Linked DNA regions of Cricetulus griseus. The protein of the gene in region 2 binds, or shares a complex with, the protein of the main gene of each other region. Links are inferred from orthologs where the notes say so. Each region holds a gene or a part of one and is shown on either strand. Other genes may lie near its edges.

What was found.
Region 1: the proteins of Naa35 (region 2) and Naa30 are in contact, whole or in part, in a cryo-EM structure (PDB 7MX2), measured with the Homo sapiens proteins. The link is inferred for Cricetulus griseus from reciprocal best matches to the Homo sapiens genes NAA35 and NAA30. Residues at the interface, in NP_001308810.1 of Homo sapiens: Leu45, Gly46, Leu48, Leu56, Ala59, Met60, Ala62, Glu64, Lys69, Glu121, Phe313, Pro314, Arg315, Ala444, Leu510, Glu511, Leu512, Glu517, Pro605, Lys606, Phe607, Glu608, Leu609, Asp610, Val614, Arg615, His618, Arg619; in NP_001011713.2 of Homo sapiens: Glu221, Pro238, Ser240, Tyr242, Thr243, Arg245, Tyr246, His249, Asn250, Lys304, Ile324, Glu334, Asn335, Leu336, Gly337, Val339, Arg340, Asp341, Lys342, Arg343, Phe345, Arg346, Tyr347, Tyr348, Leu349, Leu359, Trp360, Leu361, Arg362.

Annotation. Positions count from the first base shown.
Region 1 is NW_023276807.1:205,214,563-205,219,332, reverse strand, and holds the start of Naa30 (N-alpha-acetyltransferase 30), read right to left. Parts: upstream 3,070-4,770; 5' UTR 2,931-3,069; coding exon 2,076-2,930; intron 1-2,075. UniProt on the Homo sapiens protein: Catalytic subunit of the N-terminal acetyltransferase C (NatC) complex. Catalyzes acetylation of the N-terminal methionine residues of peptides beginning with Met-Leu-Ala and Met-Leu-Gly.
Region 2 is NC_048596.1:278,703,866-278,707,950, forward strand, and holds part of Naa35 (N-alpha-acetyltransferase 35, NatC auxiliary subunit), read left to right. Parts: intron 1-327; coding exon 328-411; intron 412-1,027; coding exon 1,028-1,142; intron 1,143-4,085. UniProt on the Homo sapiens protein: Auxillary component of the N-terminal acetyltransferase C (NatC) complex which catalyzes acetylation of N-terminal methionine residues. N-terminal acetylation protects proteins from ubiquitination and degradation by the N-end rule pathway.

The DNA.
Region 1 (4,770 bases), on a different chromosome or scaffold from region 2:
ATCTTATTTGCCATCATCAGAGGCTAGGAGACCAGAGAGGTGAAGACCGCTCTGCTGCAAAACAGCTTTAGAGATTTAAAGACACATCACCATGGGTTTCATTCCCATTAAAGAAAAAAAAAAAAGTAGCTCTAGATCATCTCTAGGGTTGTCCTTTCAAACACAATCCAAAAGACATTTATAAAAATTAGTTCTAATGGGAAGTTCAATTTGAAAAGCATATAAAAGACCTAGTTGTAGACTGCCTCTGTTGTGTAACTAGTTTTATTGTTCATATCTCCAAACTCATATTCCATACAAGAAACCTTAAAGGCCAGCTACTTGTACAACTTCTAGATATTCATAACTTAATGTTAAACTTTAGTTAGTAAAGGCTGAAGTACAAATTAACTGGTCAATTAAGAGGGGTGTACATAAAAGACTTAAGTTTACCATAGTGTAAAATGCCAAAAAAAACTGAGGTCTAGAGAAAACATGACTCAACCAACTACCACTGAACCACATCCCTAGTTCCATTCAGTTTAAAATGTGACTCCATTATACACTTTTGTGGATTAATTTACAATTAATACACAATTTTGAGGAGTTGTATTTAATGGCATTTATAATAGCAAATACTGTCCCCCACATTCACTGACACTAACATGTCTTAGAACTTGTTTTTGATTTGTGAGATGGGGTCTCTCTACACAGCCGGGGCTGTCCTGGAATGTGCTATGTAGATCAGGCTGGCCTTGAACTCAGAGATCCTCCTGCCTCTGCCTCCCAAAAGTTCTGGGATTTAAGGCATGTGCCACCACGTCCAGCAGAACTATTTTAATACAATGCTAAGAATTCTAAAGAAAAAAACAAACAACAACAAAAATACGTTTTATGGAATACGAAATACTTTAGAAACAGTATCTAAAGTTCAAACAAATGTTCTAAAATAAAGTTTAAGCATAATGAACACAAAAGCTAGCAAAACTACCAAAATGTACAATATCCAGTGGTATTTCTGGATTACCACCACACTGTGGAAGCAACCACGAGACTTGACATTTCAAAACATACCGCAAGGAATACTGAGTGAAACTAAGTCAGTGTTAAAACAGTAATAATAGTGGGAGCTTTACTCTCTTCAAAGTGTGCTGCCTTTAGTAAACTTCAGAGAAAACAATGTGCTGCGCTCATGGCAAACAGCTTACAACTGAAGTCTAACATCATCTCAGTCAAAGGTTTCATACCCGCAGAAAGTGGGTCAATGTTACTTGTGGGTAGATTACTAGTGCTGAGAATGTAAACTTAAAATAGTTATTCATCTTATCCAATAGACAAATCTGTTCTGCTTACACATAGGTCTATCAGTTATACGTCATGCAAACCAATGGTACCAGTTTTTAGACTGTTTTTGAGTAGTTTCACAATTAAGTTTCCTGCATCCCACAAAAGGGCCTTCTGTTCAAGTTTCCAGGGGCCTTTCAGCCAGCGGAAGTGTTAGTGACACCTTCTTCAATAGCACACCTGAAAGCCAGCTGACTACAAGTATTGACGCACTGAAGGAAACAATGTCAATCAATGAGCATGGCTCTGAGATTTCATTCTCCAACGTGACCACAGCAAGTTTACCGACAACCATGTTCACCAAAACGTGTTCACCGCATGTATTCTTCTCTGATTATGGCTGTTAACAGAGTTATTACTAAGGCCTGTATGTGAACAGAACCATCACTACAAAATGCTCCGCGGAAGATGGAGGGTAATTAATGAAGGTTAAAAATGATTAGAAGCTAATGTAAATAGGATGTAAGACCCCCCCACCCCCACCCCAGGTGAAACACACCTAGTGCAGGCTTGCTGCTGTTACGAGAGTAGCAAGTTAACCCAGATCATGAGTTCTTACCTTCCACACAGTTCCATTTAATAACTAGGAACGTGCGCGCACTTGCGCGCGCGCGCACTTCAGCGCTTCACATCTGTAAGGTACTGTGAAAATGAAGGATACAACCACTGCCACACACGGGGCCCTCACACTCCCTGCCCTGAGTGGCCTGGATCTCTGCTGGGTTCACCCTGTTTTCATGCCATCCACTTACCAAGAAACACAGCTGTGGCCAGTTGTGGATAAAATATCTATACGTATAAATGGAGTAGGGTTCTGACAGATCTTTGGTGATCAGTCTCATGATATCAGGCATTTGGAGCTCGGATTCATAGCGGACGTATCGTATCGTCCGATCCTCCCCGGGCTCGGCCTCCCGGCCCAGGGAGCTCCTTAGACTGCAGCCGGCGGTCAGAGACGAAGACAGCAGCCGCACCTGCTCGTCCTCCTCCTCATCCGGCTCGTTGCCCTCCGCCAGTCCGTTGCGAGCCGCCGCGGGGTCGCTGGCTGCCGCCGCCGCGCCGCCCGCCGCCGCCGTCTCTGGCCGGTCGGGGAGCGCAGTTCTTGCATTGTTGGGGACCGAGTAGGGAGGTCTCTCCTCTGGGTGTCCCCCGGCTCCTTTTGTGGCAGTCACTTTGGGGGCCCCGTCGGGGACGGCCGCCTCCGCTGCACTCAGAACCTTACTCTTGAGGGTCGCCGCGGCCCGGAGGTGTCGCAGTTCTGGGCCGATCAATCCGTTGAGCTGCTGCTGCTGCTGCTGCTGCTGCTGCTGCTGCTGCTGCTGCTGCTGCTGCTGCTGCTGCTCCTGAGGCAGCTGCGGGCAGCGAAGGCAAGAACGCGCCTTGGTCGTGCTCCCCGCCTCGCCGCCCGCGGGGCTCCCGCAGCCGCCTTCGTGCTCCTCGTCGTCCTCCTCGTCCTCGCTGCAGCAGGCGAGTGCAGCCCCCGCCGGGAACGGGCAGCGGGGCTCGGCCGCCGCCGGGGCCGCAGGCGCTGGTGGTGGGAGGAGGCTGCTAGGCCCAGGCGGTACCTCCGCCATCCTAGAAGCGACACAGCCGAGAGAGGAGGCCATGAGAGGCGGCCGACCGGCGCCAGGCAGCGCCGACTGGCGGGCCGGGGGCGGCCGAGGCGGGGGGAACAAAGGCAGAAACCGTCCCTCACCGAGTGTCCCCAACGCCGCGCCGCCCCCACGCCGCCGTGCCGGCCACCGTCCCCGGCCGCCGAGCCCCGCCGCCGCCGCCGGCCGTGTCACCGCCCCCCACCCGCCCCTCCTCGCGGCTCACCCCGCGCCGCTCCCGCCGCCGTTGCCGCCGCTCCTCTCCCTCAGCCACCGCCGCAGCCGCCTTTGCCGCTGCCGCTCCGCCGCCGCTACCGCCGCCGCCGCCGCCGCCGCCGCCGCCGAGACTCCCACCCGCCGCCGCCGCCGCCGCCGCCGCCGCCGCCGCCGTAAAGCGCCTCGCCTGTTACCCCGGGTAAAGTTTCCTGGGCCAGGCTTTACGACACTTCCCTGCCTGCCGGCTGCCGGGCCAGAAAAAGGGGCGTGGAGGGAGGTGACCTGTGCAGGGGCGGGGCCCGCGGTGTCTCCGGGGGGCTTCCGGGAGGCAGCGCGCCGGGGGGTGTGGCTCCAGCCTGGGGTTCCTGGCCCCGGAAGTCGCCAGGGCAGCCTCCAGGGTGGGCCGGGCTGGGCCCGGCGGGGCGCTCCGAGTGCTGCGGCGCGGCGCGGCGGCGGCGGCGGGCGGCGGCGGCGCGGCGGCGGCGGCGGCGGCGGCGCGGCGAAGGCGGCGGCTTGTGGACCAGCCTGTCGCCAGCCCTTCTCCAGGGCCTTTTCGCAGCTGCACAATTGACAACTTTTGCTCCGACCTGGCGCGTGGGGCAGCGAGCAGCGGCTACAAAGGTAGCAAACCCCGGGCCTGGACGGCGAAAAAGAGGGACTTGAAAGCATTGAGCTGTGGAGACAGCGTCTTGCAATAGGAAGGAACCTCATTATCCTGTTGGGACAAGAGAACGGCTAGTCGTCTTCCAAAGTTCCTCTTGCCCTATTACTCCGTCCCGAAAATTGGAGGCGTAAACGTGGCTAACAGGTGCTGGACAAGTACAGGCACACCTGGAGTGAAAGTGACAGAGATGGTGGTGGCTAAGAAGCACATTACTAATCTGTGATTGTAATTGTGTTAGGTTGGGAAGCACCGGGAAAGAGTTCACGGGATCCTCCCATGTGACTCGCATGCTAAGCAGGTGTGGAAGACCAGAGCCTCAGCATGCATTTGAGCATGTGGCTCACCTCCGTCTGCTCTAGTCCACAGCTGGTAGTTTGCTGCATAGCTGAGCTGAAAGGCACAACGGTCGTGTAAATAACTCACTTCCATATGAATCAAGTTATTTGTTTTTTGTTTTTAAGTTGTTTGTAGGGCCTGGAGAGATGAGTTAGTGGCTAGGAACACTTGCTGCTAGGTTTAGATTCCTAGCACCTATGTGACAGGTCACAAACAGTCTGTAATTCCAGGTCCAAGGGATGCTACCTCTTCTGGCCTCCAAGGACATCAGGAATGCATATGGTGCACAGACATGCGTACATACAGGCATAACACCCATACATGTTTAAAAAACAAAATGTATTAAAATAGTTTTTTATTTATTTGAACTGGTTTATAGAGTTAGTCAAATGTGCCCAAGATTAATGTTTTCAGAGATAGGTTTCTATGGCAGGTGTTGCAATTTTGTGTCATCTAAAAAAAAGAGCTGCACTAGTCGGCACATGTCTAGAATCCTAGTTCTCAGGAGGCAAAAGGCTCAGGAATTCAAAGTAAATCTGGACTGCATAGCAAAGCTGTATCTAAAAATAAGTAGAACATAAAAATAATAATTTTCAGTCGGGTCGCGGTGGCTCACACCTTTAATCCCAGCACTCTGGA
Region 2 (4,085 bases):
AAAAAAAAAAAAAGATCAATTATAGATGTATTTCAAAACTTAGCAAAATCAAAAATTTCCATACTCTCAAAAGTTGCTGCTAACTGCTTGTTTTTGAGATAATGGTCTAGTCCTGACTTTGAATTGAAGAAAGAGTGCAGCACAGTTTCTTTTGTTGCAGAGGAGTAGACTTTGTTTTTTAACTAGTGTTTGGTGGCTTGTTTCCTAAGCATGTAAAAAGCCAAGTAGAGGCCTGTTTGCTCTAGTGAGTAACTGGCACAAAGACATAGGAGTTCCAAATGTTAAAATGTAGTTGCTCTGCTTCTCACCAGACTTCTGTGTTTCCAGCACCAGCAATGCCTGGCGGCATTCAGCAGAGTGAAGTTCACCCGCGTGCTGCTGACAGTGCTTATAGCCTTTACTAAGAAGGAGGTAAGAGAATCACCGTAATTGGGTCAGTTTTGATCAGTGCCCCCCTGTTCTCACAGTTCTCTACCTTTGGTGTAGTTGCACCACAGTCATACCAATGCTTCTGTGAAAAGTGATTGTTGCTTTACAGTTGTACCTATAGATAGATAAATACTGTATCAGGTAATTCTATTTCCTGGATTCCTCCCACCCCATACTTGTGAATGATTGAATAGTATTGGAATTTTTTGCCTTGTCACAATTGACTATATCTCTGATCTTTTATTTTAAAAAGTAAGCTTATACTGTAAATCAGAAATATTTACCATTTCATTTTTTAATGTATCAAATAAGATATACATTTGAGGGAAATGCTTTGTATCCTGTCAGGATTTGGGCATCCTGCATTAAGTGACTGCTTTGTGAGGATCCATGTTAGCGCAGTGTGCGCTGGATCTCAGTGCTGTTGTAGGATCTCCTCTTCTGTGTGTTAGCGCAGTGTGCACTGGATCTCAGTGCTGTTGGAGGATCTCCTCTTCTGTGTGTTAGCGCAGTGTGCACTGGATCTCAGTGCTGTTGTAGAACCTCCTCTTCTCTGTCTTTCAGTTAACGTGTGTGTTTTCGGTGATTTGTTTGCTAGACCAGTGCTGTTGCAGAGGCTCAGAAACTAATGGTCCAAGCAGCAGACCTTCTGTCTGCCATCCACACTTCATTGCATCATGGCATCCAGGCTCAGAATGGCACTACCAAAGGAGGTAATTCTCAATGTTTGCTCTTATATTTTCTTTATCAAAACATGTTATACAGTTAGCTCTGACTTTAATTTAAGTCAGTCTGTCTGTACTTTTGCGATATTTCCTCTGAATACTTAAGGGTGCTTTAGGCTTCTTTGTAGATTTAGTCTATGTTGAAAACAATTGATTAAACTTGACCCTATCTTGTTACTGTTGGACTCTGTATATATACCCTGTCTTTTGTTTGTAGTATGATGCCAGCAGTAACTTAGTTTTTTAACATCTCCTTTCTTTATTTCTTTGAGAAAGTCTACCTCACTCCACAAGGCAGGCCTAGTGTTCCTGAGGTTCATTGTACTCACAGGTGCCTGCCTTCACACTGCACTAGAATTGTGCATGAGATTCTGGACACTTAGGATAGAACACTTGACATTTGATGCTTCATATATTTTATATGTGAAATAAGGTTTAATGGGAGTGATATATCTTTGCTGTAAAATTCACCAGTGGGTCAACATTTTAGAGTATACAGCAGCACTGATTATCCCTAAAACCCATGAGATAGTCTTAATATCATTTATAGTCTTAATATTATTGAATTGTAAAATATCCACAACTCTGAGACTCAGCTAGTTCGGGAAATGTTTATAAAAAATGATTTAATACATAAAAGTAGCTTGCTTGTGATTACTGAAATTCTGTGTTGGGATTAGCTTTTGGGCATGTGTCTGGGAATTTTCTTTATTATATTGAGGTGGCTGTGTCTACTACCACTGTGGGTGGCACCATTCCCTAGGCTGGGTCCTGAAGCATGTAAGGATGGAGGAAGGGAGCCATGTGGTGCCACATTATTTATGATTTATTAAAGCTTGCCTGAGGATTTAGAAAACAGGGTCAGCCACAGCCATAGAAGCCAGGCACACACCTTTGATCTCAGAAGTCAGAAGCTAGGAGGTGCTGGTACACACCTTTAATCCTAGGACTCAGGATTAAGAGGTAGATGGATCTCTCTGAGTTCAAGGCCACCCAGGGATACATGAGATTAAATCATTCTAAAAATGAAACAGATCACACACCTTTAGTCCCAGCACTAGAGGGGTATAAAAGATAGAAGCAGGGTCTTTAGTATTCAATAGGAGTCATTCATTCTCTAGCCACACTGAGGAGAGGCAGCAGTTTGAGGCTTGGTGAAGAGCTCTTGCATGGATCAGCCCTTTCAGCCTGAGCTTGAAGTGAGAGCTAGTGGCCGGCTGCTTTGCTTCCCTGATCTTCAGGTTGAACCCCAGTATCAGTCTTTTATTTATTTGTGTTAGCAGAGCAGAGAGCAAACTTGCATGCGTTTTATTCTCTCTGCTCTCAGTTGTGGCTATGACAGCTGCTGCAGGTTTGTGCTGCCCTGAGTTCCCTGCAGTGATGGACTGTGACCTGTAATTGTGAGCCAGGTGAGCCTTTCTCATCTCCTCAATTGCTTCTCACAGCAGCAGGAACAACTGTTACGCATTGAGTTGCCTGCTTGTATGAGGCCTAAGAGTCTGTGTATTAAGAACTAAAGAACATTTCTTGATAATTTCTGACTTATGTTAAAAAAAAGGTTACTCTCAGTTTCTCCTGCCACAGCGTTGCAAGTGCCGGGATTACAGGTGTTTGTCACCAAGACCCATGTCCAGTTTGGTGTGTTTGTGTTGTTGGGATTGGACTCAGAGCCTCATGCATTCCAGGCAAGCTGTCTGCTGCTGAGCTATATCCCCCCCAGTTCTCAGCTTAAATTTTTTGTTGTCGTTATTTTGTTTTGTTTTGTTTTTTTCAAAATAGGGTTTCTCTGTGTAGTCCTGGTTATCCTGGAACTTACTTTGTAGATGAGGCTAGCCTCAAACTCAAGAGAACTGCCTGTCTCAGCTTCCTTAGTGCTGGGATTAAAGGCGTGTACCACCATCATCCAGCAAAATTATTTTTAAAGAGTGCAGATGTATATGGGATAATGATATGCCTAAGTGAATTGTAAATGGGAGCAAAGCTTTTTTATTTTTTCCTCACATAACATGATAAAGTCAGTGACTTGGGAAGGGGATTTGTGTGTATAATCTCCCTACATGTGATGGATTCGTGAACCACATCTCATAGGACTGGAGAGAACACTCATGGCTCTTCCACAGGACCAGGTTCAACTCCCAGCATCCTCACATGGCAGCTCACAACTGTCTATAACTCTGGTCCTGGGGATCTGACGCCCTCTTCTGGACTCCACGGGCAATGCACACACATAACAAACAGGCATGTATGTAGACAAAACACCGATACATACTTAAACAAACAAACAAACAAAATAGAAAAACAGCCCTCATAGAGCCAAAGAGCTATCTGATTTTTTCTGTTGAGTCTCAGGAAACCACTGAGCTCTTCCCAGTGCTCTGTTAGGGCACTGTACTGTACAGAAGGGGGAATGGACAAAACTTTTGGGACACATGGGAGTTTGGAGAGATGGTACAGAGTTAAGAGTGCTGACTGCTCTTGCAGAGGATCTGGATTTGATTCCCAGCACCTACCGGTGACTCACAACTGTCTATAACTTCAGTTCCAGGGCATCTGATGTCTTTGACCTCCATGGGCTCCTGGTTGCACGTGACTCACGTAAACTCATGCAGGCACACATCTATACATAAATAAAAAATACATTTTTGAAAGCTTCTGTGATAGGGAAAATTCAGGCTGTGTTTTACACAGAGGGTTGAGGTGGCAATGAGTAGGATTGGTGAAGTGAAGGAGCAGTCACACAACGTCAAAGGGGAGCAAGAAGTGAAAGGCGGGGGAAGCACTGGCAGGAGACGAGGTTGCCGTCTTCAGGACGGTGAGGCTGAGTTCCTGTTTTCTGAGAGAGACAGTGTTTGGAGAAAGACAGTGTTTGCAGTTGCCTTTTGAGATAATGTGGGATGCCACATAGAAATGTCCACTGAACAGGTGAGGAGA